Linked DNA regions of Danio rerio. The protein of the gene in region 4 interacts with the protein of the main gene of each other region in a pairwise test. Links are inferred from orthologs where the notes say so. Each region holds a gene or a part of one and is shown on either strand. Other genes may lie near its edges. The genes, in order: bend7, trim23, vapb and usp20.

Region 1 (7,750 bases), on a different chromosome or scaffold from region 4:
GAAAGAAAAAACATATCATGGCTCATGGCTGCCGTCACTGTGATAAAAAACACACATACATGCAAACCATTCTTTCAGCGCAGCTCTCAAACGATTGCTCTGTGCAACAAACTAAACGTTATTTACAACTTTCTTACTTGTTATTCACAGCCTATGCAATTTCTGTTTACTAAAGAAGCCGTCATTGGCATGCTGCGTGCACGTGGCACATTCTCAGTAGTAAACAAACAGCTGGCGGTCAGCTCACGTGTGATTTTGCGGCTGCAAATACATCATTACATGAAGACAGAAGTGACATTTCTGGGTGAATTATACCTTTTAATACAGTATGTGACACTTTTAATGCCACTTGACGTTGTTTATGATCCTGTGAAGACTTGTGCGACCGCTTTTAAGCTCCTGACCTTGAAAATATAATTGGCTGAATCGTAGAGAAGCTGTATTAAGATCGTGTGTAGGGTCGAATCAAGATCGTCATCTTTTTTTGATTAATTGTGCAGCCCTAGTTATGAGGTCATAAAGTTTGGTCCAATGTTAAGTCAATCTGACTTTTCCAAATTTTCCGGGTAAGTTTTCGGAAAACCGGAATTCTGATCAGTTGGAAAAAATAGAGCAACCAGAATCAGACCAGTTTGGAGGTTTGGAGTTAGCTTGGTAGGTTGTAGTATGAACAGTCTAGGAGATGCATATAGAAATTAGTCTCAGAAGCAGAAGAAGTTCATGTAGTATAACAATGTGCTGGCTTTCTCAAGCCACCATAATTAAGGGTGCTTTCACACTTGGTTCATTTCCCTGGACCATACCCAAGTTCGATTGTCCGCCCTTGCCACCTTCTCGATTGGTTTGTGTTCACACTGTTTTTTTTCCTTCTGAACCCCGGTACGCTTGAGTCATCGAGCTGCTGTTTTGTTTAGAGCTGTTGCTAGGTGACGGTCACGAAAGCAAGCGCCGAAATGGAAAGATGTCCACACATTGCGGTCATTTTGCTTTTACTGAACCTTTTGGTTCTGGACATGCAGAAAGCGTCTCGCACACAAATATTATACACATTCAAAACATCACACAGTGTCTGCAGGAGCTGTTTTTGGAGGAGACAAACAAAAATGAATACAGTGTTTGCCCTGGCTCAGTCCCGCTTGTCACCAAGGTACGATATGTGACACACACAAACAGACACACACACGCACGCACACCAACACACACACACACACACACACACACACTAATGAACGTTATAAAAACGATAGTTTGTTGTACAGTTGGCTGTGTTTGCCCTAACTCAGTCCCGCTTGAATCCAAGGTACGAAACGTGACACACACAAACACACAACACACACGAACAAATATTATAAAAATTATAGTTTGTTGTACAGTTGGCGGTTCACTTCTGTTATTTGGTACGATTGTATTCACATCAGAAGTGAACTGTACCTGAGTTCGCATGAACCGTACCCCAGACAACCCTTTCAGGCGGACTCGAGTATGGTTCACGGGTGCACACCCGAGTTCAGAAGACATGTTCACACTAGCTAAACGTACTGTACTTTTTCAAGTGTGCAAACACAGCACTGTGAAGTCCCAGCCTATGGACTATGAGTGTGTGTGGCATTTCAGTCTATTGGCTGTGTGTGTGGTGTCCCAGTCTTTCAGCGGTGAGCGCGTGTGTTTTCAGTTATAGGTTGGAGATGAGGAACTGGTACACAGGTGCCGCTTGTTGTGACATGGATTTAAAAAGCGCTTGGTGTGCTCTCCATGGAGTCAAGTGAGGAATTCTGAGCGATCGCCTTGGCATGGAGCTTGGTTAAGCCGCGCTGGCCATCCCTTTGGGCCCTGACTCTTCTTTTTCATTTACCTTATATTATTTATGTCATGGTTATGTTAAAATAAATGTTATTTTTTGCCCTTGATGGTTGCGTCTGGTCCTCCTTTTTCTTTGAAGCTTAAGAGTCGCTGTAACAGCACCTTGTTACTTTAAACAAAAATAATCATTAAAATTAGGAATTAACTAAAATGACATTTTGCCCAAACACACACACACACACACACAACCATAAATCGCAAATCAAGAGAATTGTTTCAAGAGAATTTTCAAGTGCTCTCTGTGGTTTTCACACATTCAGATTCACCTCAGTGTTGTTTTGTCCTCCGCTGACGCTGTAGTGAGGGGAAGTTTTCTTTACAGTGGGAAAGTGGTCTGGTGTAAATGTAGCCACAGTGGAGGGCGTGTCCTCTCTGGACTGATCACACTCATTCACAGCATCCGCAGAAGGGGAGGGGGGCGTGGCTCTCTTTGTGGGCGTGACCAGAAGAGCCACTCTGTGACCCAGCCTCCTCTTTCGGCTCCTCCTCCTGGAGATGGAGGTTCGAGACGAGGAAAGCGAGACGTGAGAGCCCTGTTTGTCCTGCAGCCCTGAGAGCACAGCACAGCATAGAATACCACGGGTCATTTTTCACTCACATTCTTGTTATGATAATCTTTGTGTCATTTTTTGGTGGTCAAACGAGCATCAATGTGTGGATGCCAAATAGACAGCAAGGTTTTTAACCTGTTTTTTGATGTCGTTGATGATCCTACTGGGATAATGCATTTAAGGCTGGTCAAAATCTTGTGACATTTGCTTTAATCTGCAAGATCCTGAAGGGTCAGTCTGAGAGCACATGATTGAGTGTGTTTTACCTCTGTGAGTTTGGAGTAGTTTCCTCATGGTGCGCAGCTCCAGCAGAATGGCCTTCAGGGTGCTCTTGCAGTTGCACATACAGCAGCTGGGCTCTGTTGCCATGGCAGCAGGCGCGGGGGGCAAGGCCATGTCTGAATCACAAACACATATGCAGCATCAGTGGCGATGTCTGACACCCGGCGGCTCCAAGCACGTCTGACTCCGGTGTGTGTGTGTGTGTGTGTGTGTGTGTATGTATGTGGCTCAGGCTAACTGTGAGGGAGGTTTTGTGTCTTTTATTGTGTACTGAAGGAGGACATTACGCATTTGCTGTGTTATCCAGAGCTGTCTAGACATGTGTCAGACAGTGCATCTTCCTGCAGCCTGTGGTCACAAAATGCAAGGTTCAAGTAATGTCTTACTGTTTTTAGCAGAGGCAAGACTTAAAAATCATGAGATAAAATAAATAAATCAGTCATTTCTATGTAGTTTAAGTTGGAGTACCAATAGTTGAAAGAAAAAAAACACACAACAAAATTAAATGATGAAAAACATTTAAAGAAACTCTAAATATTAACTATATATATATATTTAGAATTTTTAAAATGTAAAATTTAAAATATCATTATTTTCATTCATTTTCTTTTTGGCTTAGATGCTTTATTAATCAGGGGTCGCCACAGCGTAATGAACCGCCAACTTTTTCAGCATATGTTTTACGCAGCGGATGCCCTTCCAATCGCAACCCAACACTGGGAAACACCCATACATACACGTTTGCATTACACACATACACTACAGACAATTTGTTTTATTCAATTCACTTAAAGCGCATGTCTTTGGACTTGTAGGGGAAACCGGAGCACCTGGAGGATACCCACACTAACACGGGGAAACATGCAAACTCCACAAAGAACTGCCAACTGTTCCAGTTGGCGTTTGAACCAGCAACCTTCTTGCTACCCACTTAGAATACACCCAAATACAATATATGAAAGAAGGCATACAAATAAAACTACTAAATTAAGAGTTCATATTTTTAAACATGAATAAACACAAATAAATTCTATAATAAATCATTTATATTATCTAATTTATAAATCATTCTGTCATTATTATATTACTTAATAATATAGAGTAATAAACCAAAAATTGCAATATTTAGGTTGAAAATGGACTCTTTCAGGGTTTTAGTTATTTGCCAAGGCAACATTTGCAATTTTGGTTTAGTTTTCGTAGAAGTGCAAACATTACTACAACTGAAAATGACTAAAAAAAGACTTAAATTAAATAAACAACAGAAAAAAACAGAAAAACACATAATACACACTAATTAATTAAATAACTAAAAACAATATAAAAAATTAAACATGAATTAATGATATAATACCACATAATGCATTATAATAATAATAATAATCATCAATGTAGCATAGTGGGATAATAAAGGGACTAGACCAAAGAAAAATGAATGAATGAATGAATGTATTTAAATATGTATACAAATGTAATTAAAATACTTGTCTGAAGAACAGAAGGCTTACAAATATAAATACTAAAATAAGACTTCATATTTTTAAATATGTATAGACCAGAAAAAATTCTAGAATAATTTATAATATTGAATAAATTATTATTTCATTAGTATATTACTTAATTAATGATAGACCTTGTACTTGAACCTTTTGTGGATTGCTTATCATCTAAAATCCTAACAACTTGTCTTAAAAAAGTATATTTACTCTTTCTGTATTGTAGTTATTTGTCAAGTTTATATTAAGAATATAAACTTGACAAACGGCAGAGAACATTACAAACACTGAAAATAACTAAACTAAAAAATAAATATAATCAAAGAAACAAACAAATAAACACCAAAACAACAAAATAGTCTGAAATTAAATTACAAAATATGTAAATAAATGAAATCAGCAAAATGCCATAAATGCCATATTAAAAAATAATGAATTATAATAATAAGTTACAAAATGCTTAAACTACGGAAGTGAGGATTTATGAGCTATTATAGTGACAAATGACATAATAAAAAATTATATACAGTTTAAGTCATAATTATTAGCCCCTCTTTGAATTCTTTTTTTTTTTTTTTTAATATTTCCCAAATGATGTTTAACAGAGCAAGGAAATGTCACAGTATGTCTGATAATATTTTTTCTTCTGGAAAAAGTCTTTTTTGTTTTATTTCAGCTAGAATAAAAGTAGTTCTTAATTTTTTAAAATACATTTTAAGTACAAAATTATTAGCCCCTTTAAGCTAACTTTTTTTTTGATAGTCTACAGAACAAACCATCGTTATACAATAACTTGCCTAATTACCCTAACCGGCCTAGTTAAGCCTTTAAATGTCTCTTTAAGCTGTATAGAAGTGTCTTGGAAAAATTCTAGTAAAATATGATTTACTGTCATCATGGCAAAGACAAAATAAATCAGTTATTCGAAATGAGTTACGAAATCTATTATTTGTAGAAATTTGTTGAAAAAATCTTCTCTCTGTTAAACAGAAATGGGGTAAAAAATAAACGGGGTTAATAATTCAGGGGGGCTAATAATTCTGACTTCAACTGTACATAAAAATAAAATAATTATATTCATAAGTTCCTAAATGATGATACTAAATGCTTAAACTACAATAGGGATTATTTATGAGCTATCATTATTACTGTGTCCGGTCCTGGTCCTGGAAGACCAAAGTGAGAATTTAACAGCAACCAGCTACAGCAAATCTTTCTGAAAGTCTCTAATAACAATTTGCATGTGTTGAATTGGGAATGGACAGGTCTGGACACACCTCTGGTCTCTAAGACTCACCATTAGTTTTGCAGTGGTTGAGCATCCTCTGTGTTTTGGATCGAGTGCTGTACTGGCTTTGAGAGAGAGGCATGACTGAGCTCCAGTTGTACTGCAGATGTTCAGGGGTCGCGCTGTGTATCACAGGCTGGCTGAGGTTCTCCTCTTGGGGCTCCTGCTTGAGGGTCTCTCCCTCTCGTCCCACTCGCTGGTACACGCGTCCCGTCTTATCACTCAGCAAGCGCATCATACCGGTTATTTGTTTCTTTATCTCCATCCCTTCATCACCTAACCAGACTGAGAGACACAGTTAATATACAGAGCCTATATAAACATGAACAAGTACATTATGGTGAATTACAGCTACCTTCACTCTCTGCTGCATCCAGAGGTTCTGCTTCAGTGTCATTCTGATCCACGTCATCCATTTCATGGCTAAAATCTGAACCAATCACAGTTTGACATCAATATAAGTTATATAACATTGTACATTAAACATATATAACATTAATCTATCTGTCTGTCTGTCTGTCTATACAATGTCAGTTCAATATCATGTCAATACAATAAAATATTACAAATATATGTTTAAAGTGATGTGATCAGAAGTGACTGCAAAAATATATATTTGATAAATTTCCATAAAGATGTAAAATATTCTGTTAAAGGTTATCAGAAAGACATACTAAATCAGGGTTGTCAAACGTACAGGCCGCGGCCGGATCAGACCTGCAAACAAATTTAATGCGGCCATAAAGGCAAATTTAGCGAGATGATTCTGTGAGCTGCAATTTTTCAATAAAATATACTGCTGTTTCAATTGTGTCATTTCGCGTAATTTGCGTAATTTCATCCGACCCAGAAGCCTGACTCAGTGTCAGTTTGACAGCCATCTCTGAGAGAAAGACCACATCAGTACCCTGTCATCCCCATATACTGTAAAATATAGGTCATATCACACCAGTGCTTCCCACACATAGACTTTACTTGGGCGGGTCGCCCAGGTGTATTTGGTGGTGACACATGAATTATACTATTATTGTCATCCTTTTTTGTATCCGTCCAAGAAAACTAAACATTCGCGATTGATTAACCAGTGGAAAATGTTCTTTAGCTCTGCACGTTTCCTACTGCTGGTTCTGTGTGTATGCGATCTGTCACTCACACAGGAACTCTTACGTGCTCTGCAGCCTTTTCCGCCAAAATGCATCCGACCGTAGTTTCTGAATCTCCTAAAATGTCCAGGATTCAGGTTTTACTTTTGCTTTCTAAAGGTGCCGTTATTTGTATGCATTTTTGCATTACCATTTTGCAGCTGACTGTGCATGCACAATATATATGAAATTTAAATCAATAATTCATTTTTATAGACGCATATACAGTTTTCAGTCTTCATAACTAGCAACTGCCTAGCAACCACCTAGAACCCCCTAGCAACTGCCTTAGCCACAGCCATATCACCCTGCAGCCCAAGACCAGTTACTTACCGAAGCTAAGCAGGGCTGAGCCTGGTCAGTACCTGGATGGGAGGCCAGATGAGAAAATTGAGCTGCTGTTGGAAGGAGATATATTATTGTGGTCGGAAGTAGTGTTAGTCACAGGCCACAGGCCAGCAGGGAGCGCTCAACCTGTGGTCTGTGCCCCTGTATTAATGCCCCAACATAGTAAAGGGGACACTATACTTGTCAGTTAGGGCTGTCTTTTGGATAAAATGTAAAAAAAACTGAAGTACTGACTCTCGATGGTCGATATGGTCGCGTAACCCCGGTGTTCTGGCAAAGTTCTCTCCATTGGCCCTTACCCATCATGGCCTCCCAATCATCCCCATCCACTGCACTGTCTCTATCCAGGGTTAAATTTGTGCAGGAACAAGCTGGAGCTGGATTCGGCACCTCTGAAATCTGATCTGGCATTTTAGCGATCCCCTTCCTTGCACGCACCCCACCCCACCTCTTCCTGCCCGGTAAAGTTTAGATCAGGTACACGGCCGGCCGGAAGTGCGATATGCACATCAATATAGCAGCATTTTTTTTTATGACGCTGTATAACAAAAATTCATGTGGCGGTTGGGTTGGGCATTAAAAATACAATTTATTGAGTAATTTAATAGAAAACATAAATAATACTCACACAACTACTGTTTTTACATTATTATGACGTTAGGGTTTAGGGTTGGGGTGGGTAGACGTTAATAAAATACAATAAACCTGAAATTTAATAAATAATATAAATAATTCTCGTTAACTTCCAGCCACAACCATATCTAACAACAACCCACCCTCTGA
Region 2 (8,343 bases), on a different chromosome or scaffold from region 4:
ATTACAAACTCTTTTGATGATCAATATTGTAAACAACTTTCACAGGATCATATTCGCATGTCGAGATGTTCATAATATGTGCGTGTGCTGCCGCTCACAGGCTGTTTCATGGGCACACGCAAAGCTTGAAGGTAAACAAACAACGGCTTATCATAAGCATCTTATCGATGATTATTTGCACAGTTGGCATTAAGGAGAACATATAAACGTTATCTGACTAACTTCTAGCAGCTAAATGCGTCTGGAAAAATATTCAAAGGCTTTTATTCTCACAAACCGCGCGGACGTAAATGCGTCTGACTGTTGTGATTGGCTAAAGCAGAAGTCTTACGTCAGCACGTTCTAGACGTGCACGCGCTTATTCCGGAAATATTCCTTCTGCGTTCACACAGCGCAGCATTCCGGCAAATTGCCGGTAATGTTACAACTTCTCTTTCCGGAAAATAGCCAGAACGAATTTACCGGTATTTTCAAAAAGGACCTGTTCACACATACAACCTTTCCGGAAAATTGCCGGTAATTTTCCGGAAAGGTCTGTATGTGTGAAAGGGGCTATTGTGTGAGTATACGACAGTGTCGTATGTTGAATTAATGGATATATTGTTACTGGATTTTTTAAAAACACAAGTTGCATTTATTGCTTCAACTTATAGTATAAAGTGCAATTAACAAAGCATACCAAACACACAGTACATACATACTTAGATTTTTTATTTATTTATTTTTTCTCAACAAATGTACTTTTTGGGACATCTTACAGTCACGAATGACTTCAGAGTCAGGTGTGTTCACACTTATTTGCTTCACTTTTTTTTCTCTTTTCTTGATGCATTTCATTTCTTTTAGTCCAAACCAAAAAAAGAATAAACATTTTGTCCCAATTCCGTTTAACATTCACTCTTATTAATAAGACAATTTAAATAAATATAACAAGCTAAAATTTGGGCTCAAACCAGAAATTTCACTTACACTAGGATATGTCCACAGAGAAATGATTTACTACTAACGACAACTTCAAGTTTACAAGCGACTGTGTCCTTTGTATACATTACTATTCATCAAGTAGGAAATGTTATTATTGCAAACTATGCATGGGCCAGTATAAAAATATCACAAATAAACATTTTCACAGTTTTACGGTATTACACCTCAAGGTGTAATTACACCTCTAAAATATGTTCCTTTCAAATGTCTGGGTAAAAAACTAAATCTTTTTTCCCTTTGAACACAATATATTTTATTTTGAGAGACTTTATATATTTTGAAATAGGGATGTTTAAAATTTTCGATTAACCACTTACCGAAATGGTGTGTTTGTAATAGATTAATGGTATCGGTTAAACGATTAAAAAATATTATTTTATATATTTTTAAAGTTTGGCTGCATAAGGGGCCAATCACAATGAACGCGCTTTTTGTGTTGAGAAGGACATTTTTTAAAGGGTTTATTAACTGTTTTGCATGCTGCTTATGTTGTGTGCTCGCAGTTGAAATAAAAGTCAACCCTGAACGGAGGTGCCTCCAGTGTTTGTGTTGTCAGGATGACAGATAACTAATGATGGAGGAGAGACTTGTGGCTGCAGTTTCAAGTTATCTAGAGGTGTAGGCAGATTACTTTACAAATTATGTTATTCCATATATTAAAATGATAACAACATAAGACAGCAACACTCGCGCACAATAGACCAGCTGATTCAGTCGCTTCCTATAGTGACATAAAAAAAAAAAGCACTGCGCTTCTTTTTTTTTGTCAACATAAAGGCAGTGCAGTGCGCCTTGCATTTTTGGATCGGAAAAGCGCGTTTGCTGTGATTGGCACCTGATGTGCAACAAATATTTGTTACCTTGCGGAATGATAACACATGCAACCACTCGTGTCTAGACATATTTTGTCAAAAAAACAACATGAAAGAAGAATATTTCTAGTCAAAGTTTGACACAAACAAGTTGACACAAACCAGTGCTAATGCTGTTTGCAAGTGAAATAGGGAACTAAGTAATTTTGACAATCTTTAAACTAATGACTTTTATTAAAATGGTCAAAAGGGTTTTGTGACATAATATACAACGAAGCATTAATTAAATGCATATTTTCAGTGGAGCATTCGATTTAATAGTCTGATATTTTTGTTTGACGGAAGAAAAAAACATTGGAAAAAACAGCCTATGCCAGTTTTTAAAAAGGATACAATCAGTGTTTTCGTTTTGTAATCTAAATTTGTCATTTAGGTGAAAGATATCTATGGCAGGCTTGTTTATTTGTTTATTTAGTTTATTCTTTTTTTTTTCTATGCTGTTAGAAACAATGCAGGTGCGTGAAGTTGCTCTTTTATGTTTTGTATGCTGCTGTTTGCATGATAAAATAAATCAGTATTTTAAATATATTTAATGGGCTCACAAAAAGGACGCCTCAATAAATTTTATTATTAAATAATATTTTCTGCTATCTTCATTAGTTTCAAAAACAAAGATTTCTTGTGGTAACTTGAAAAGGCATGTTTGTAGATATTTTCTGCTGGAGATACTATTGTTTTAAAAACAAAATGTAAAAAACAAAACGTACATATACAGTAGGAACAGTAGAGCAGAAAATTTTGTCAGTCTTAAAACTTTTGAGTTTTCTAAACTACGGTAGAGATCTGCGTGGAACTGAATTTTTAGTCCCACTCCCTCCAGTTTTTAATTCCGCTCCTGACCGCTCGCGCTGTATATTTAGCCTTTGATGCTGCGAAGCCCACCCCATTTCCCGGTTGGAAAGCGATCAGTAAGTGAATAGCAGGGGTGAGGGGGTATAAGAGATCAATAATTGAAAGACGGCAGGCCAGAGTCACAGTGGTAGGTAGATTGACTGTCAGGTCACCAGGAAATGTCCCGGTGCTCCCTATGACCAGTCCGCCTCTGCTTATGCATAAGAGAGAAGAGCGGCTATTTATACCAAAGCACAGTGGTGGAAAAAAGTCAAAATATGGCAAATGCACTTAAAACACATTTTTTGCCTTGTTTGTGCTTGTGCAGCTACAGAAAAGCATAAAACAATGCCATTTTTAAAATAAACTTATGATTAAAAACCACATAGTGTAAGGAGGAACAAGTTGGACAAAGAGGATTCTATCCCCATAATCACTGCCAAGATTTTGTTTTTAAACTCATTTAGAGATCCATTTAGGACAGATGGTATGGAATCTGAAATGCAGCACATTAGATCATGTTTATACTTCATTTTTTGTTTGTAGCTATATTGCTAATATAAAAAAAAACTGTAAATTTGAAAAATGTACACTTCTAACCTCTCCCATCTCACGAAGCGCATCCTCCGACATGCCTGACTGATTGGTTGCCCCATTCTGTAGCCGTTCAAGCAGTTCTAGCAAGGCAAAGTTCTTCTTCAGGCCCCACACACCTGAGTCTCCTGGAGAGCAAAACAAGAATATGATTCTTCCCAGTATGGAAATTTTTAAATATTGAGTTACATTGTTATTATAGTGAACAGAAAGGCAAACTCACCCAGCTCAGTGACCTGTCTATCAAAGGGGCAGCGTACTGCCCTGCCGTGGAGAGGCAGTCGTGTCAAGCAGTCGTGACACACCGTGTGTCCACACAGCAGCAGTCGTGGTACCTTATCACCTTGTAGTGAAAACACATCCTCACACACACCACACTCCAACACCTTTAAGTCAACAAAAAAAACATGTATTTCTTACAGGAAATGTTGCAGATTATTATTTGTGTAGACATTTCTGAGTGAATTTTATTTTAATAAAAAGACAGGCCTTTAACTTACATGATGTCCACAAATAGAAAATAACAAACAACCAATCCTTCAATTAGTTTGAGACTGACAAAATCAAGTCCCATCCCACATTTTTAACATGCTGAATCACTAGTATATGCACATAACAATAATGAAGAATATCATCACATCCTTCATTTTAAATTATTAACTTCTCATTCAAAAAGCCAATTAAGCTTTTGTTAATTACAATTTATTTGTTATTTGAAAAAATATTTCAGCAAAAACAAAGAATAAAATTAAATTCTAAAACGTTTATATTATATATTATAATATATAATAACAATTGTTATATTATACAAAACGCATACGTACGTTCATAAAAGCTAACATTTAATTTAATATCGAAAGAATGTTATAATAAACTTGGGGGAACTAGCATGACGTATGTCATTAATTCTGCAACATTTAGACCTATTGCCTTATGTTCAGCCATAACTTATAACTACATCTCCTAATTGCTTTCTAGTTGACGTTAAATGATAAAAGTGTTGAAGATATGAAGCTCACACTCTTTCTATGGACCAGTTGATCATTTAGCCAAGCCGGCTAACCCATTCTGCACAACTCATTTAATAACGGCAGAGTTATCAATACAACACATTTTTTCATACTTACGACTTGTTTTTTACAGTGTCGGGCGTTTTAAAAATAGGTGTGTGACATCTTATTTAATGTAAGAAACGCTGTGACAGTTTTGAATGATGCTATCATTAGCCTGCTAACGCCCTGCAGAATCTCACTGAACTCCACCTAGACAGGTTAAAAATAACGTCTCTTACGTGATCGTTGTTAGCTAAACATCTAGTATAGTTGTTATTTATTTAATATGCATCATACCTTCACCGCATTAGCGGCAGTTCCTCGGCCGTGTCTCACACACGATTCCATCGACGCCTGTTTATTTACACCGACAGCAGCGGCCATCCTCGGACTGAACCATCTAATGACACTTTAGTGTGAACATGGCATAGTAATTTAGCTCTATTTTAGGCTGTCATGTGGTAATAAAAATTACTTTAAAATTATATTTTTAAGCTGTATCGCGAATGTTTGTATTATGTCTCAATTAAATTATACCAATCGTGTAACTCTGTCACCCATGTATAACAGTGGATCAGTCTGTCAGCTGTTTCCTGTGCGAGTACGCGCTCATCAAATGTTACAGCCCGAAATAAATACATATGAAAATTAGGGTTAATTTACCAAATATTGCTTAACTGACTCGTATGAAGTTAAAACGTTGTATAGTGTTGTCTTAAAGTGAAAATAAACATGTTTCAAAACATTGCATTTTTGTTATTTTTTTATTATTTAAAATGTGTCTAAATGACAAAAAATACACATTAAACTTGGAGGAAACATCAACAGCTTTAGAAAGTTGAAAAATCAATATTTGGTGGAATAACACCAATTTTCAGTCAACAAAATTTGAGAACATCTGACCAACTGTAATTTTCTGGGGACTATTTAGGCCTGTAGCCAGCCTGGTAAAAGGGGTGGTTCTTTTTTTCTCAAAAAGTGGACCTTTTTGCACTTATACGCCTCAGTTTTCTATTTAACTACGAGATTTAAATACTGCATTTTAGTGATATGTTGATGGATTAATATGGAATCAGATAAGTCTCAAAAGAAATTCACGCAAAAGACATGATGTACACATGCGTAGCCAAATTCACGTGCATAAAACCAAATTCACTTGCGTAAAATATTTATTTATATTCACAAAAAAAATTCACGTGCACAAAATAAAAATGCATTTTCATAAAATACGTTTCACAAATGCAAAACACAATTTGCAAATGTATAAGAGTGTACAAAAAGTTTTGAATGTTTAAAACTTGCGAGTTCATCCTGAATGAGAATGTGCAAATCCTCTTTCACGTACGACTCCCCCTGGATACTTGTGTGTGTATTTTTGAGACTGTCCTGCCAGAGGCAGGGCAACTCGTACCTTTCAGCCAATCAGACGAGAGCTGTAGTCGATGACACCCACTCTGCGCTCCATTTGCGCAGACTGTTCCTCTCTCATGAGGGATTTATCACTTAAACTCTTTTTGTCTAAAACTGAAAGTTTATCACAATCGGTGTATCTTGCTAAAGTATTGGATGTACCAAAATCCGTTATTTAAAAAAAATTATTTAGGGATGTTTAATTTTATATGGAAAAACAAACCTCATTATTTAAATAGAAATATTTTATGTAATTCATATAATCAAGGAGGTTTGAATTTGCTTGATTTTGATACTTCCAATACATTTTTTTAAGTTGAATTGGATTAAACATTATATCAAGCACAAAAATGAAATATGGTGTATAATCCCAAACCTTATTTTTGAAAAACTTGGTGGTTTAGGGTTTCTTTTGAAGTGTGACTTTGAGATTAATAAACTTCCCATTCAGTTATCTAATTTTCATAGGCAGGCTCTTTTATGTTGGATACCTCTATACAAACACAATTTTTCTCCCCATAAACAAATGATAAGGAATAATAAAACTGTCAGATATAAAAACAAATCAATCTTCTTTGATAATTGGGTTAAAAAAAAAGATATTCTATTGGTCTCATAGTTATTGTGAATGATAAAGGATATTTACTGACTTATACAAAATTTTTAGAGAAGTTTATTTTTCCAGTGCCCCCACGAGATTATTGTATTGTAATTGATGCAATACCAGCAGGCCTGGTAAGGCTTTTGCAGGGTTACAGTGAACTAGATAAGCTAACAATTAAAAATGAGATTTTATTAGATGGTGTTGATGTCAAAGATAGAAAATGTAATAATACATTTCTAAGAAGTTTCATTCATTGTCCTGCAATTTTTAGACACAAGTACTTTTGGAATTACCAATTTGAGAATATTAATTGGAATTTGATTTGGACCTATAACAATAAGTATTGTGTTACTAATAAAGTCAGTGAAATATACTTTAAAATTATACATAAAATATATTCAACTAACCAGTTTCTCAAGAGGTATAAAGTTGATCTTTCAGAATCGTGTGTTTTTTTTGTGAAATGGAGGTTGAGACTATGATGCATTTGTTTTTTGATTGTATGTATGTTAAATATTTCTGGTTTGATGTTGAAAGTCTATTTAATATACTGAGGGGTCATAGAATTATTATTAAGAAAAGCGATGTCATATTTCTACAGATAAAAAAGATTTAGATAAGAATCTCCTGTTTATGTTTAATCTGTTGATATTATTGGGCAAGTTTCATATACACAAATGTAAATGAACGGAGAGAAAGCCTAACATCTTTCATTTCAAGGCTGATTAAAAAATTTATTTTGAGACTCTTAAAGGACTTTAAAATCGTAAAACAACCAGGACTGTGAATATACTTCAACAGCTAAACTCCTCTTCTCTATGGTAATGCCTACTCCTGTTTTTTATTTGTTTTATTTTTCTTTCTTTCCTTCCTTTTGCTTTTTTGATTTTTGTCACACATGTTATGCTAAAATATGTAATAATGTAAGAATTATTAAGCATTTGACTGGAAATGTTTTGAAAATACAAAAAAAATATATATATAATGTTTCTCTCCAGCATGGCGAGCGGAGAAAGCAGCAGTCGCAGTCACACTTTTTTATTCATTTATTTATTTATTTGACCATAGCCTCAGTCTTTTTATCCATTATTTTGCCGCAGTTTCACTCTTCTTATTTATTGTCTCGCAGCCCCATGAGCAAAATGTAGCCTGCAGGGTACTGGTGAGGATTAAGTATCATTCCAGCCACACAATCACAGCAGCGTCATTGGACATTGTGGTCCAGCGGTAAGTACGTTACGTTACGATGCCCTTAGATCCATGTTCTATCTTTACCTGAATAAATATAAATATATATTTTTTTCATTTTTATTGTTAAGACATATAAAACTATAAGGTTGTTGAACATTTGAAGTTCTAAAGCAGCGATAGCAGCGTGCAAGTTCTAAAGCAGCGTGATAGTGTGTAATTAGAAACTGAATTGGAAATGACCTTATTCACATCTTTTTTTGATTACCATGAAGTTTAACATGATGCTGTAAAATCAGTCTATGTTGGTAATTTAACAAATCTAATCTAATACACAATCCTATGAAAAAAAGTAAAGACTGAGGTCTTTTTTTGCATGTTGTTAGTTTTTAACTATTAACTACTATTTTTATTTACTGTGGGTTATGGATAAAATGTGAACTAATTAATGCTATAAGATTTAAATACTGCATTTTATAAATTTATTGAAGGATTAACTAGTCAGATGTCATTATAACCACAGTTTTTGATTTGCTAAAAATATTTCCTAAAAAAATTGCAATAACAAAAATTAAAATAAAGAATAGGTTTTAAAATACAAATTTAAATCATATATCATAAGGAAAAAATAGCAATCTATTTTAAAGTAAGAAAACTGTAGCCCACTATCATTTATTCGTCAGAAAACAAACTGGCCAGCACATGGAACTGCCCTAAGTCACGATTTGTCCATTTCAATAATAATAAAAAAACTAATAATAAAACAATTATAATTAATTCTGCTTTGGTAAAAAAAAGTACATTTGGA
Region 3 (8,479 bases), on a different chromosome or scaffold from region 4:
CCGAACTTGACATTTTCAACAGGGTTTAAATAATCTGAAGGGTATTTTGACCTGAAACTTCAGACACATTCTGGAAGACTTATAAAGACTTATTTTGCATCATGTAAAAAGGCCAAAATTGGAGTCATTTAAATTGTAATCTAGGCATGAAAATGAACTGTTCACTTTCTAGCTTCTATCCTGACAGACAACCATTTTTTACTTCCTTATTTCAGATGTATGTTTATAGAGAGTTCAAAGTAATAATAATTTCCCTGAGATGAGAAATACTAGAAAGAAATTTGAGATCAAATAGTGTGTAACATACTCATTTCTGAGCATATACAATTTTAGATGATATCAAAGGCTTTTTTGCCCATTCCCAGCACAAGCAGCTGATAAAATGTATAGCTTGAATTTTGTATAAAAGCATCTATCAAATGCATAAACATCATGTTGCTTTCTCTAAATCCTGTCATCATTTACTCACCCTTATATCATTCCAAACCCCGTGTTGTGAACACAAAGGAATATATTTTGATGAACGGTGGGAACAAAACAATATTGGAGTCCATAGACTACCATTGTGTGGACACAATGAGACATTTAAGAAACGTAAGAAACACTGAGGCATTTCTCAAAGTACCATTGTTTTAGCTTCCGCAGAAAAAAGGAGAAACAGTATTGGAATTACATCAGGGTGAGTACAATAGCAAAACTGTAATTTTTTGAAAAACTAACTTCAAGTTTTGCATGAATATGGGATGGCTGGTGAAATCTGATAAAGTATTTATTCTGCTTATACTATAAAACGTGACTATCATCTCATAAAACAGCCTGAATGGGTCAAACTGGTGAAAAGTAATGACACTTATGTCATTGGATTTCAAAGTTACGATGAAACGGAATGACCATTATGCCAAACATTCAAATGTAATGGGAGAAAAAAAGTAAATTAGAATAAGCAGATCTGCAGGTGCAGAGTTTAAGCAGACTAATGAGATTTTTACCCTACAAAGGTAGAATAAAAGCATTTACACAGCAATTATATATATATATATGATACACTTCAATACTAGGGTCTGAAGTGGATTACAGCTGGCATATTTTAGTCAGGCTTTTATGAATCATGTGATTCTAGAGAGTTATGATCGGGAACAGAGCATGTAAACACAACACATGTAAACTGCCTGACAAAAGCCTAGACGTCGAGCACAGCTGTAAGAGCAACAAATAATAACTTGAAAAGAGGCAGGAGGTAGACTTTTCTGATGAATCATCTGTTGAACTACATTTCATACATCATAAATCATAAATACTGCAGAAGCCCTCATGGACCCAATATTTTCATAGATATCAGTCAAGTTTGGTGACGGAAAAATCATGGTTTGGGGTTACATTCAGTATGGGGGCGTGCGAGAGATCTACAGAGTGGATGGCAACATCAACAGCCTGAGGTATCAAGACATTTGTGCTGCCCGTTACATTACAAACCACAGGAAAGGGCAAATTCTTCAGCAGGACACCACTCCTGCTCATACTTCAGCTTCCACAAGTTCCTGAAAGCAAGGAAGGTTAAGGTGCTCCAGGATTGGCCAGCCCAGTCACCAGACATGAACTTTATTGAGCATGTCTAGGGTAAGATGAAGGAGGAGGCATTGAAGATGAATCCAAAGAATCTTGATGAACTCTGGGAGTCCTGCAAAAACGCTTTCTTGGCCATTCCAGATGACTTTATTATTAAGTTATTTGAGTCATTGCAGAGATGTATGGATGCAGTTGTCCAAGATCATGGGAGTTATGCAAAATATTCCTTCTGTTTCCACTGCACCATGACTTTATATTCTATACTGTACATTATTTATGTTAAGTGACAAGACTTTTGTCTAAGCAAAGTCAGACCTTACTGTCCTAATGAAATAATTAAAAATTAAGGCATGATCATATTTTATTTTGGTAATAAATAAATAAATAATAAAATAAATTAAGAGTAATCTAGAGGCCTTTGCCCTTCATATAAGCCACTTCGGATGCCAAATAATCAACTAGAAGTCAAGTTATTATTTGTTGTTCCTAAAACTTTGATAGGTGACAAGCTACTTTTGTCAGGTAGTGTAAAGCAGTATCATATTTAGTGGTAAGGTGACATTAGTACAATAAATAGACCAGCATGCAGTCAATAAATCATTGTTAAGGGTCTATGCTGTGATTGTGAACTTCACGAGCTAGTGTAAGGTTAATTCTTATGAAAAACAACATGTTTTCAAGCTGGTTTGGCTCACAACGGCTTTGCTTCCAAAAGAATGTGTTCCTTGAAATGTCAAATATGCGAATTCTCATTGGATTAAAAGATTCTTATTTCAAACACCAACATAACTATGACATTATTATCTATAAAGTCGTATGAACTTTGAAGTTAGATAATAATACAGGTGTTTGATGTCTTCCTGACTGGGAACAGCATCAAGGTAGGCGGCCAGATTTCTCCATAAAAATATTAAACATCTTCTGTACAATTAAGCCAGAAATAAACAAAATACATCACACAAACAAGCATTCAAGTTGTTTATTCCTGCTTATGGCAGGAAATACATCTTGTAATTATCTGACCATGAGGAGAAATGTTCAGAGTGGATCAAAGAGAGAAGTAAATGTCACATAATGACAAAGAAAACTATTAAGACATGCATGTGGGATAAACAAAATGTTGCTACACAGTGTCATAAAAAACCCTCAACAGCACATTTTGTAAGTGACAGCAAAACACAAATGCAACATCAAGGGCATGGCAACATTGGTTGAACTGCTTCAGTTCATAACCAAATTAACCAACCCACCAATAGAGCGGTGTGTCAAGGCCTAAACAGACTAGCTGAAGCTAATGTCCTTGTCAGTCTTCTGCTAAACTTAGAACTACACATACTATTGACATTTTAAAAATTATGGCTTTCTTCTATGAGGGGATCATGCCACAAAGGCTTTTGTTTATAAAAGAACAAGACAAATACAAGTATCCCAGAAATGATGAGGAATGTAGCCAATGATATGGCGATTTAAAAGCTTGGAAAGTCATTCTTATTTTGTGAGTCTTATGGATCAGCTGATTGACATGGGCATGAAGTGTACAAGTGAAACTAGCATTAGTCTGTTTAGTGATAGTAATGTAATGATAGTCTAAATGACATTAACCTAGAAATCCTGTAAAAAAAAACAAATATGTAAATGGAAAATGATTTAATTTTAAATGTCGACCAAAGACCAATGTTTTATCCAAAACACCAGAATAGCTTTGTTTATGACATTAGTATCAACATGTCCACGTCATGCTGAACTTTGAAGTGGAATAATAACAAAGGTGTCTTCAGACTAACGCTAATAACTTCCTGACTGGAAGCAGCGTCAAAGGTAGGTTGTCAGTGTTGCCAGATTTCTCTACATGCTAGCTATTCTGACAAAAGAAGTTAAAACATAATAATAACCAATTGCTTCACCAAAAGAAACCGAAACACATCAACCCAGATTTTCATTATTGCAATATTTACAATAACAACTCTATCCTGCAAGCGTCTGCATAAGGGAAAAGATTAGCAATTGCCTTTGACAGCTCGCTCACAGCGGTCATTCAAATGGAGAAATCATCTCACAATGATGACAGAGATATATCATGACATGCACACACACTACACGTAGGATAAACACGCATTTCGCTATTGTATTATGTAAATAAGCAAATAGTGAGCACATCTGATTAGCGACATTTTACATGCGGACATGGCAACACCGGTTGAACCGCTTCACACTAACCGAATTAACCAGCCCACCAGCAGAGCCTGTATGTCAAGGCCTAAATCAAGCTAGCTCAAGCTAACACACTTGTCAGTCTATACAACAAACCACAAAGCGAACACCTTATCGTGTCACATTAGGTGTCATTTTAGCGGAGTTTGAATAATAAACCGATTGAGAAACACACCGCTGCGCCATAATATTATTATGATTACTCCAAGCACCGAGGCCTGCCAGAAACGCCATCTCGCCGCCTCCTTCAGCCCCCAACCACTAAAAAAACACACCCGCTGACCCTCCCTCTTCATCCAGGGCGTTTTATCCGCAAGTCCTCGTCAGTGTGGGGCTTTCTGGACTCACCTCGGAACCTGAGCTCGTGCTGCGGTTCCAGCAGCAGGACCTGCTCTGGCCTGGCCATCTCCCACTGCAAACGCTCGGACTGACCGCTCGGACTGACGGGGGCGACGGGCTTTGACGGCGGAGGCTGTAGTCGATGAGGACTTCTGTTACATTTATCGAAATAAAAAACTCCACGCGGCAGTGGAAATAGCTCAGTGTTACCCGATCCGCCAGCGACTGTTGTGATGCAGCAGGAAGGGACTGTTGGAGAGAGAGAGGGAGGCTGGCCGTGACGTCACTCCCTGCCCCTGCAGTATGCACTCAGTAGTGGCGACTGATGTGAAGGGTGGAGGTGCTGATCTTAATGGGTCATCTGTGCATCTTCAACACTGTAAAATATACTGTAAATGTGTAAATCTTATAAACTTTACAGGTAATTTAACTATGAATCAATTAAAATGATTCATTCAAATTCGTAAAACTCAATATTAAGTTAGCTTAAATACTTAAAGACTGATTGTGTTCAAACAATATCACCTATATACTATATAACTGCAGGTTAACTATGTTTACATATAATACCTTAATTATATAATAATTCAGTGTTAAACTAAATTAGCCGTAGTGCAGCTGGAAGGGCATCCGCTGCATAAAACATATGCTGGAATAGTTGGCGGTTCATTATGCTGTGGCAACCTCTAAAATAGAGACTAAGCCGAAAGAAAATGAATGAATGATTATTTTAAATTATTAGTAACTAATAAAGTTATGGTAACTAATAACCTAACTTTTCTGATTTTGAATGTAAAGCTGCTTTGAAACAAAAAATATTAATGAATTAAAATTATATTAAAATAGGTAACTAAAAAAGACTGATTAATTATGTTAATATAACATTTAAAAAATGCTGTCGTGACTTTTGATCATCTTTTTACACTGCATGTTATGGTAACTTTGCAACATGTGATGACCTCTAAAGAAAGTTGTACTGCTTTGCATGTTTAATAATTGAAAATAGTTCTTTCATTCATTCGTTCATTTTCCTTTGGCTTAGTCCCTTTATTCATCAGGGCTCGCCACAGTGGAATGAACTTCGCCAACTTATCCAGCATATGTTTTACACAGTGGATGCTCTTCCAGCTGCACTATGGCCGATTTAGTTCATTCAATTTACTGAGAGCGCATGTCTTTGGACTGTGAGGGGAAACCAGAGCACCTGGAGAAAACCCATGCCAACATAGGGAGAACATGCAAACTTCACACAGAAATCCCAACTGGCCCAGCCAGGACACGAACAAGCAGCCTTCTCAACAGTGCAAACCACTGAGCCACTGTGTCGCCTAAACATAATTATACAAGAGTTTTATTACTGTATTGTAAATACATCTCACTAAAACACCTGTATTTCTCTATTAGTCTCAATGAACAAAAGCATTATTCACACAAATATATTTGGGATATTTCTGAATATATTTTAGAAACATGCTATTATTGTGTCATAATTATTTTTTTTCACCTTTCAAAATGTTAAAAATGTAGCTGAAACTTTGAAATAAAATATTTTTAATAATGTATGCTAGTATACACTCAATGGCCGCTTTATTAGGTACACCTGTTTAACTGCTCGTTAATGCCAATTTAAATCAGCCAATCACATCGCAGCAACTCAATGCATTTAGGCATGTAGACATGACCTGAGAAACTGCATGAGAATGGGGAAGAAAGGTGATTTTCATGCACAACCATCTCTAGGGTTTACAGAGAATAGTCTAAAAAAGAGATAATATTCAGTGAGCGGCAGTTCTGTGGGCACAAATGCCTTGTTGATGCCAGAGGTCAGAGGAGAATGGCCAGACTGGTCCCAGCTGATAGAAAGGCAACAGTAACTCAAATAAGCACTCGTTACAACCGAGGTATGCAGAAGAGCATCTCTCCAACCTTGAGGCAAATAGGCTACAGCAGCAGAAGACCACATCAGGTGCCAAACCTGTCAGCTAAGAACATGAAACTGAGGCTACAATTCACACAGGCTCAGCAAAACTGGACAATAGAAGATTGGAGAAATGCTGTCTGCTCTGATGACTCTCGATTTCTGCTGCGACATTCTGATGGTAGGGTCAGAATTTGCCATCATCAACATGAAATCATGGATTCATCCTGCCTTGTATCAATGTCTCAGGCTGGTGGTGGTGTGATGGTGTGGGGGATATTTTCTTGCCACACTTTAGACCCATTAGTACCAACTGAGCATCGTGTAAACACCACATCCTACCTGATTATTGTTGCTGACCATGTCCATCTCTTTTTATGACCACAGTGTCCCCATCTTCTGATGGCTACTTCCAGCAGGATAACACGCCATGTCATAAAGCGTGAATCATCTCAGACTGGTTTCTTGAACATGTCAATGAGTTCACTGTACGTAAATAGCCTCCACAGTCACCAGATCTCAATCCAATAGAGCATCTTTGGGATGTGGTGGAATGGGAGATTCACATCATGGATGTGCAGCCAACAAATCTGCAGCAACTGTGTGATGCTATCATGTCAATATGGACCAAAATCTCAGGAATATTTCCAGTGCCTTGTTGAATCTATGCCACGAAGGATTACTAGTAAGGTGTACCTAATAAAGTGGCCGGTGAGTATGTGTGGTTATGCATGCATTTTAAAGATACACCACAATAAATGCAATTAAATGTTTTTATAAAAAGACATAATTAAAGTTAAAAAAGTAACCAAAATGCTTACATTTATCAAACATCAAGTTATTCATATACTACTGAAATATAGTCGTACTTCTCTAAAGATTTTGACTTTTTATGTAGATATTAGAATGTTTTTCAGATTCAAATAAAAAAATGGCAAATCAAATTGTAAAGGTTGCATAATGATGTTGCACTCTTAAAAACAAAGGATCTTTATTGCCATACAAGAACATTTATCATCTGTCTATTTCAAGGTTCTCTGCTATTTAAAGAAAAGGTTTATGAAGGAAACAAAAATGTTCTTTAATAGCATTAAACTGCTATTGCTGATATATTATTTAATAGAGTTTGTTCCTCAAAAGCAGTGCAAAAATCCAAAGGAATCTAAGAATTAACATGAATTAGGTTTTCCCCAGCCAAGTTTCTAGATCGCATTGTTAATTGCAGAATTAGCAGAGTTAATTTATGCTCGGACTGGCAGTTCTTAAAGGGCCGCTCGTTTTACTTTCCTCAGCACAATTAAAAGATCAGCACAGACCCCCTGCCAAAGGAGACACATACCACAAGTGTCATATTTATATATATAGCCCAGCAGCCAGCGCAGAACACATCCACAATCCCTCTGAACTCAAGGCAGACATTTGCACTTTTCTCCGATTGAATTTAAACCAATACAAAAAATAATCAGTGCATTTTAAATTTCATATCATTTTATTATTAATAAAGAGCCGAACAATTCCCTTTTGCACATTCACAAACGAACAAAAAACATGTTAATTCCAAGCCTTCTCCGCAAGACAAAATAATAGAGACACATAGATAAATGACAAAAAAACATTGGTTAATTTACGTCTGTGTATGCTGAATTACATTGGCAAGCTGTGGTAAAGTATATAACAATTGCCTGACTGCATCTCTGTTTATTTACACAGTTCATCCAATGTGTGGTATTATCTACAAGGATGTAATTCACAACTTTCTTAGGGCCAGCCCAAGACTGTTGGCACTGCTTTTCAACCTAAACGACCAATGCAAACTACACCAGACAGCACATCGAAGAATCCCATTCAAGTGTAGCATGTAGATCCATTCAAAGACATTAATGCAAAGCCTGTGTTCCCCAATAAGCAACTGGATAAGTGAACCACAGGTTTTGCACAAGGCAAAATATTTTTACCATTTCAATGCATCGTAAAGGCCCTTCAGTGAGATTAATAAATGAGAGATGTTTCCTTTTGTGATCAGCTTGACATGATGGAAAGAAAACCTTTGTTTGAGAGAAAGATAAATTAGTTTTTCACAAAAGCCATTGAAAGAATACGTTTGAAGGGTTTTCTCTGTGTTAATGCCAATAGAGAATAAAAGTTCAACTGTAAATAAAATACAGTAAAATTTACAGTAACTTACCGTACGACTGTAAATTTACAAGCACTCTGTAAATTAGTAATTACAATTTACTGTAAAAATTCACAGTAAATTAATGGCAATTTTATTTGCCAGTAAAACTGTAAATTTCTAAATGCACTAAAATAGTAATTACAATTTACTGTAACATTTACTGTACTTACAATTTTAGTTGCCAAGAAGAATGTAAATTTACACATGCACTGTAAATAAATAATTACATTTAGTATAAAATTTACAGTATATTACTGGCAATCTTGTTC
Region 4 (7,750 bases):
CAACCTAGTTTTCCCATGTGGTCTCCCATCCAGGTACTGACCAGGCTCAGCCCTGCTTAGCTTCAGTGAGTAAATGGTCTTGGGCTGCAGGGTGATATGGCTGTGGCATATTTGCATATTAACATATTTCCCAAATTAAACACGCACTCACAGACAGGCAAACAAAGCGATTTTTACAGATTTTTTGGCATTCAAAAGGGTTCCTTGTGCTTCATATGATTACAGTTAAACCACTGAAGTCACATGAAATGTTGTGATGTGGAAGTTATGACAAAGGGCCCTATCACACCAGGCACAATAAGGTGCAAGACCTGTTTGGCGCAATTTGCTGCTATTTTAATTTAGTAAATTAATTTGCGCCACTTTGTGGACTTGTATGTGTACTTGTCTAGAAAGGAGGTGTGTTAAGGTGCATTGTTTGCACGTTGCTTTTTTGAGGAACTAAAATAGACTGTGCCAACTGAAAGCTGCTCTAAAGTCCAGCGCAGAGCACCTTAAGCACGTTGCCTACACATTGCTTAATACACACAGAATGTACAGCAATATGCAAATATCTTAGCAAATGAAAAAGAATTAAAGGATTAAAATTGCTACAAAAATTATTATTTTCTACATCAATATAAAAACCACTGCCTCAATGCCTTCTTCATCTCAGGGGGCTTTTTCAGTTTATTCAGGACAATTTGCTTTTGTATAATGTTATTATTAGTATAAGTATTATTGATTATATGCATGTTTAAATTTCTTTTAATAAAAACAAGCTCAGATTTGTTTTTTGACCACACTTACTATCCTTTTATTCATTTCTTTTATTCATTTGTAGAAATTAGAACTGATTTTAGAAATAGTTTTAAAACAAATCCTGGCTCTTAACAAATGAAATTTAAATATGTAGGCTAATGTATGTCTTCAGTGGAGTCCTTACAACACCCTTTTGTTATCCACGAAAGTAAAGGAGTAAAGTAAAGAGTAGAATTAAAGTAAAGAGGGTGAATCAAGGAGGTGTTCAGTTTTTCCACTTACAAAGTCTGCCATGTAAATAGCAAGTGGGCCATGGTGTGACACAACTGAAGGGGAGGGCTAGACTCTGATTGGTTTAATGCACGTTGTGCTCAAAACACACCCATAACTCATTAAGAGAATAAGCATAAACCTGTTAGCCTATGCACCGTGGCGCATACCCCTTTTTTCGTTCTTAAAATAGCAAAGGTGGATTTGGACTTAATACTTTTGCACCATGCGATTTAAACTTTGAGCCTAGATGGTTTAAATAGAGCTGAAACAGTTTGTTCATAGTTTGCACATATATGTATGCATATATATTATTATTATTATTTTTTTTCACTTGCTGTAGCAGTGGAAACTAAAATGATATATTAATTTCTACAGGAATTCCTCCTACGAAGTACCATTATGTGGATGATCTGGTTGTGATCCTTCCTCAAAATGTGTGGGAATATCTCTACAACAGGTGAGTCATACATAGCAATGCACAAAATTGACCTTTTGGACGTCCTCAACATTTATTACCTTCTAGAACATGGGATGATACTTAAACATTTGATCTTGTCAAGTCAACAAAACCAATGCTGAACTAAAAAAAATGTGAATGGTTTTCTGCCTGATGTCATGTGCGAGGAACTCCTCTTGCCGTGCAATATAAACAATGTTGAGTTATGTGTTTGCTCTTTTCACTGGCCATACTTGTGTAATTCCTCATGTTTTGAAATATTTTTCACAGGTTTGGAGGTGGCCCGGCTGTGAATCACTTATATGTGTGTGCAATTTGCCAAGTGGAGATCGAGACCTTAGCCAAACGACGGAAACTGGAGATAGACACCTTCATTAAGGTGAACAAATGACCATTACAGAATTACAGAACTCCTGTCTGTGAGTGTGATGTTTAAAATAGGAAGTGGCATTCATGAACAGCCAAATGCCTCAGACTTTAACATGTCGCCTTGTTTTTGAGCATCAAAATTATATTGTGAGAACACACTACATGGGTTTAACTGCTGTCTTGGCCTAAAGGATGATTTATACTTTTGCCTGGGTCTGCAGCGAGACCTTCCATTGACTGCCGTGAGTTTTGCCTCGAGGCTTTCATGCTTGATGCTATTGCCATTGTACTATTTTTTAATAACAACAGGGGAGGGACTTGGAATAACTGCCCTGACGACAGTGGCGAAAAAATAGTCAGGGATTGGAGTTGTTAAATGAATTAATTGTATATAAAATGAAATTGTTTTCAGTAACTTAAATAAAATTATTAGTAAATTAGTAACTTGTGCTGCATTTTATACATCCAAGCTAACTGCTTAATTAATGCAAAACCTTTGCACAATAAATATAAAAATAATTTACTTAAAAAATCTTGGGCAACCTGTGCACAAAATACATGCATTGTTTCTCTTTAAAGCTTCAAAAGAAGTTGTTTTGGATTTCTAAATATTCGCATATTCACACAAGTTGGCCAGACTCAGCTATAAGTGGTTCATCTTTGAATGTGGAGCCGTGTGCGAAGTTACGAAAAATGTTGCACATACCAAGTGCCAAAATGATGTTGTGCGCACTCAAAGTCAACTTCAGCCAACACTGTGATGGTGTCACATTGCACCCAATCGATGCCATGTGCACCCAATCGAATTTGCGGACACATCGTATATAAACCAGCATTTAGTCCTGCATAAAATTTACTTTTAGTATTAATCATATTTATTGAACCTTTTTCCTGTTTTTGTTTGATCAAGTTTTATTCAACGATATCTCAAATTAGTTGTTAGTAAACAAAAACTAGTCACTTTTTTTAGTTCTACATAATAGAATTGCTTTACTCAAAATAATGATTGTGACAATTGTTATTTCAACTTGTTTTATTTATAATTTCAGCCAATTATAACGCTTTCACCTTTGAGCAAAAATTAAGAGAATGCCAATTTTTTCAAAAACAGTACAGTCAATATCCATTTTCTATTAGGGCATACGCACACTATCTACAGTTGCCTTTAATCGGGCCGAAGCACGTTTGTCCCTCCTCCCGTCTCCCCTGACGGCCCGCACTCACATTAAATTCGGGCCTGGGCACGCTTGCATCATCGATGATGCGCTGTTCAGAAGTGCTCTTGCTCAGCACAGTGGAGATTTCTTAAGTTATATTGTTTTAGTTGTTTGGGATGCAGTGAAACACAGTCAAATATTTTGCCGAACAGATCCGCCACTTTTGACGCTCATAAATAATCATGAAGTCCTCGTGCTGCAGGAATTAGGAGGTTTGCTGAAAGTGCAGCTGTGGTGCAGTGAGGGGTTTGCGTCTTTAATAAACTCCGACAGTTTGCATTCATTGAAGAGTAAGAATGATTAATAAACACATCTCATGTCTCGTCTTCAGTTTCGGGCTCGGGCGCACTTTACACTCACACTACAAGCCATATTCTACTAGCTGCCATATTGCAGAGATTAAAGGATAAGCTTACCCTTTTAATTCTCACCCTCACGTTGTTCTATAGTCCTTTGTTCAATTTCAGAACACAAATTAAGACATTTTATATGAAATCCGAGAGCCTCATCCTTCATATATAGCAATGGTTTTGAGATGTTCAGAAAAGGAACCCAAAACATAGGGAAAGCAGTCTATGCGACGTCAAGGGTTAAACTGTAATCATACAAAGCTCCAAGAACAGTTCTGTACACCAAAAAATACTGTAAATACAACTTTGTTCACCTATATTTTCTCTTACATGTCAGGTCAGGGTGCACATTCATTGCAATATGATGCTTGAATGTCACACTGCTGACAATAGCCTTAGTAATGCCTGTAGTAAGTGCCCTGACCTGATGCAGGAGAGAAGATACAGGCGAACAAAGTTGTTTTAACATTTTTATTTGGTATTTGAAATAAATAAAGTGTTCTTGGAGCTTCATATGATTACAGTCTAACCATTAAAGTCAAAAAGAATGTTTTGAAAATGTTTTTGGTTCCTATTCTTAACATCTATTCTTCCATCTGCTGTCTATGGAAGGTTAGAGAGGTCAAGGCTTTCATCTAAAATATCTTCATTCGTCTCCGGTAATTACCATAAAAGTAGGGTGCAACTAATGATAGAATTTATATTTTTGAATGAACTAATCCTTTAAGTTAAACACCCTATCCTTTGATGAAAAAAGCTAATTTGAGGGGATTTAAACCCAATGCATCTGGCATCAGCATTTAGTCTTCTCTCTTTGACAAAACAAAGGAACGTTTATTTTAAGAAACATTCATTTTAGCCTTGTCTTTTTTGTCAACAATATTAAATTCCCATTTAATAATAATGATTTAACCGTGAAAAAAATATATCGATACATATTTTTCACCATATAATCAGTTGAACAAAATGAACAGCACTTCTAAGTTATTTACTCAGATCCACAGCATTTTTAAATAACCAACTGGAAACCTCACTTGGCAGGAGCATAATGTTCTTGGAAGTGTCTGCTGCTTGTAAAGCCAGAGAACTGATGAAACACAGACTGCATACTTTACTGATCAGGAGTGTGATCTGCACTGGAATCTTATCAGGGTGCAGTATCTGATAGGTGCATCACTAACATTAAAAACACACGGTGTAAAGCTCTGAAGATATGTGAAGATCCTGTTTGTAGTTCAACATGTTTGAAAGCGACATATAAACATGAAATACAGCATTTAACTGTAGTAAATATAACACAGTAAAGTACTAATGCTCAGAGTGTTTAAAGGAGTTTAAAGTTGATAATGATTATCTCCCTCTTTCTGTTTTCTCTCTCCATCTATAGTTAAATAAGGAGTTTCAGGCTGAAGAAGCTCCTACCGTCATCCTTTGTATAAGCATGCAGTGGTTCAGAGAATGGGAGAACTTTGTCAAGGGCAAAGACAATGGTACACACTCATGCAAACTCGTATACTGTAGTAACATGCATGTTAACAAACATGGATTGCTACTCATTTATGTTATTCGAGATAATATGCAGCAAAATTAAGAAAGCCAGGTCTTTGGTGTTTAGTTCACTGTTCTGAGGGAGGATTTTAAATGTTTGTTTATATTGTTAAATCATTTGGACTTTATAGTATATTTATAGTATGACAGTTTATCATACTATAAACATTTATAGTGTGATAGTTTGTAGTATTATAGTTTAATATATGAACAAATGTCAGTATGTAATCATTATCTGTAATCAAAAACATTATCATGTCTTACTCCTTACAATGCCACAACTTTTTCTGACAACATGTAAACCAGTATGATGGGTGAGAAATATGGTTCTCCAATGACTGATTGAATTTCAGTGCTCTCTTCTAACTTTTCTCTCATGAGTCCATCACAGCAAGTAGCAAATGACAACAACCCAGTCTATTCCTGAATTACTAAATTAAACCTTACTTTAATTCGTTTGCATGATGGATGCATTTATAATACACAAGAAAAAGAGAGTTTCATGCTGCATTTAAAGGCATAGTTTAGTTATATGTTATAATCCTGTCATCCTTTACTAATTCTTATTTATTTGGTTTTGGTCTCTATTGGTATTTATTATATGGATAAAAAAGTTTAATTTTTAAAAATGTATTTTTTGCTGTTTTGAAGTTAAATGGAGTGAATGTGAGTATAGGATACAATTTAGATTTATAGTGCCACTATTATACTGTTTTAAAGGGTCCTATTTGTGTTTTAGACTCCTAAAATAGGTTTATATAAGAGAGGCTCATTTCTGTTCTTTTTTCCAACCGACAACCGCTGCTCTTTAACCGAATATTAACCGTTAACTGGTCAGATTAATATTAAATTATTATTTAACAAAAAAAATAAATAATAATAATTGACGTGTCTATTTTGTGTCTGACACATTAAATATTGCATTTTAAAATACTGATTTATTTTAACGTGCAAACATATTAACCACAGGACATATTAACAACAGAACATCTTCACACACCTGCAGTGTTTCCAACAGCAGAAAAAAACAAACCAAATAAAATAAAAAAATTAGGCCTGCCCTAGATATTTTTCACATAAATTACAAATTAAGATTACAAAACGAAAACACTGACTAAATCCTTTTTAAGAACCAGCATAGGTTATTTCTTTCCCATTATGTTTTTTTTCTTCCATCAAATACAAATAGCAGGCAACCTCAAATCGATCACTCAACGGAAAATATGCATTTAAATAATGCTCCCCTGTTATAATTATATCACAAACCTCTGTCAACTTTTTAAATAGAAGTCATTACTTTAAAGATTATGTCTTGAGCGTCTATTTTTTTCCTCTCACTCGCTGCATGTGAAGACAGACAATGACAAGGCTCAAATGTGGACTTTTAGTAAAGTATAGGCTACTATAGCATATAGCAATTTTGTTGTTTACTTATGTTATTACATTAATTGCATACATATTTTATAAGCTATAAAATGAAAGCCTCAATTTTGTGCGGAGTTATCATTATGCACAAATCAAGAAAATATTCGGATTTGTTTGATTCATAGATTATGTAAGCTATAGATTATGTAATATAAAAAATGATATTTTATAAGCAATGTTAAAAACTGCAATTTTCCAAGAGGAAAAAAGGTTTGTTTGTTGGTTGTACACTAAATCCTCACAACTATAGCCTATTTGCTTTGTTTATGAGCAGGCTGGAGCGCGCTCTTATGGAGAGAAAATCTAGATGCTCCAACTTGTGGACAGCTTGTTTCCAAAGCAGCGTACATTTCATAAAGTTTTGTTTTGCGGCTTTTTGCTCCAATTGTGTAAATGAACATAGATGTTTATGAGGCGGATCCAGGACAGAGGCAATCAGCATCAGCACGGATTTGGCATCAACTCGTCTGTGTCAAACTGTGACCAGCAATATTCTTCTTTCATTTTGCTTCATTGGCAAAATAAAATGTCTGTAGGCACTTGTGGTTGCACGTGTTACAGTACCGCCAGTTAACAAATATGTGTTTCACATTTATACAGCCAATAAAAAAAAAAAATAAAAAAAAAAAATATTTTTAATCGCTTAGCTGATACCAGTAATTGGTTAAAAACGCACCTTTTCGGATAATGGTAAATCAGTTATTATGAGCATCCCTAGTTTAAATTGGAAAAAAAAAGTACATTATTAAAAAGTAATAAAATACATTTAAAAATAAACCATAACAATATCCTAGTACAGTTTTTTAAATATCTTTTTTTTTAACTGTATTAGCTTGAGAGAACGTCTTTTTCCTTCAGATGTGCCTTTGAAAACAGCCCTTTCTCAAAACGTCAACAAAACAAACTCTACCAGGCCTCATTTATAAGTACAGAGTTTGAGGATCAAATTAGAAAATGTCCATGGAGAGCGAATGAGAGCCATAGGCTGACTTCATAATGACTGGTTACAAATGTATGTAGGTTTGTGCTGAAGGAAAGACTGGAATTACTGATGACTTATTTCAGTCTGTTCAGAATCAGTTCTTTCCTTCAGGAGAAGAGAATTCCGTTTCTGACATACTTTGATCTATATGGAAGATCACAAACCTTTTATGTTCACAAACATCTACATTACAAAGCATAAAAACACCATAACAGGGGAATTTAAGTTGTATATACATACATAAAGTCCATGTTACTTTAGATGATGCATATCAATTATGTCTAATTTTGCAGTACTTTCCAAAGATTACAAACTCTGTGGCTCTGAAACGCATTCAAACACCACTCTCTGTTTGTTTGAGAATCTTGACCAATCTGACACGGCAGCA

What was found.
Region 1: the proteins of usp20 (region 4) and bend7 interact in binary tests that used the Homo sapiens proteins (3 or more experiments, as listed by UniProt). The two-hybrid records come from large-scale screens. The link is inferred for Danio rerio from reciprocal best matches to the Homo sapiens genes USP20 and BEND7.
Region 2: the proteins of usp20 (region 4) and trim23 interact in binary tests that used the Homo sapiens proteins (3 or more experiments, as listed by UniProt). The link is inferred for Danio rerio from reciprocal best matches to the Homo sapiens genes USP20 and TRIM23.
Region 3: the proteins of usp20 (region 4) and vapb interact in binary tests that used the Homo sapiens proteins (3 or more experiments, as listed by UniProt). The two-hybrid records come from large-scale screens. The link is inferred for Danio rerio from reciprocal best matches to the Homo sapiens genes USP20 and VAPB.

What each region holds. Positions count from the first base shown.
Region 1 is NC_133193.1:9,570,659-9,578,408, forward strand, and holds part of bend7 (BEN domain-containing protein 7), read right to left. Parts: coding exon 7,744-7,750; exon of another isoform or gene 7,257-7,743; coding exon of another isoform or gene 7,202-7,256; intron 7,018-7,201; exon of another isoform or gene 7,015-7,017; coding exon of another isoform or gene 6,985-7,014; exon of another isoform or gene 6,953-6,984; intron 5,908-6,952; coding exon 5,833-5,907; intron 5,763-5,832; coding exon 5,487-5,762; intron 2,810-5,486; coding exon 2,678-2,809; intron 2,411-2,677; coding exon 2,127-2,410; intron 1-2,126.
Region 2 is NC_133185.1:12,494,299-12,502,641, forward strand, and holds the start of trim23 (E3 ubiquitin-protein ligase TRIM23), read right to left. Parts: upstream 4,742-8,343; 5' UTR 4,718-4,741; coding exon of another isoform or gene 4,631-4,717; intron 3,668-4,630; coding exon of another isoform or gene 3,505-3,667; intron 3,410-3,504; coding exon of another isoform or gene 3,288-3,409; intron 1-3,287.
Region 3 is NC_133181.1:52,213,424-52,221,902, reverse strand, and holds the start of vapb (vesicle-associated membrane protein-associated protein B/C), read right to left. Parts: upstream 4,441-8,479; 5' UTR 4,184-4,440; coding exon 4,126-4,183; intron 1-4,125. UniProt on the Homo sapiens protein: Endoplasmic reticulum (ER)-anchored protein that mediates the formation of contact sites between the ER and endosomes via interaction with FFAT motif-containing proteins such as STARD3 or WDR44.
Region 4 is NC_133180.1:33,938,654-33,946,403, forward strand, and holds part of usp20 (ubiquitin carboxyl-terminal hydrolase 20), read left to right. Parts: intron 1-1,389; coding exon 1,390-1,471; intron 1,472-1,741; coding exon 1,742-1,850; intron 1,851-4,794; coding exon 4,795-4,897; intron 4,898-7,750.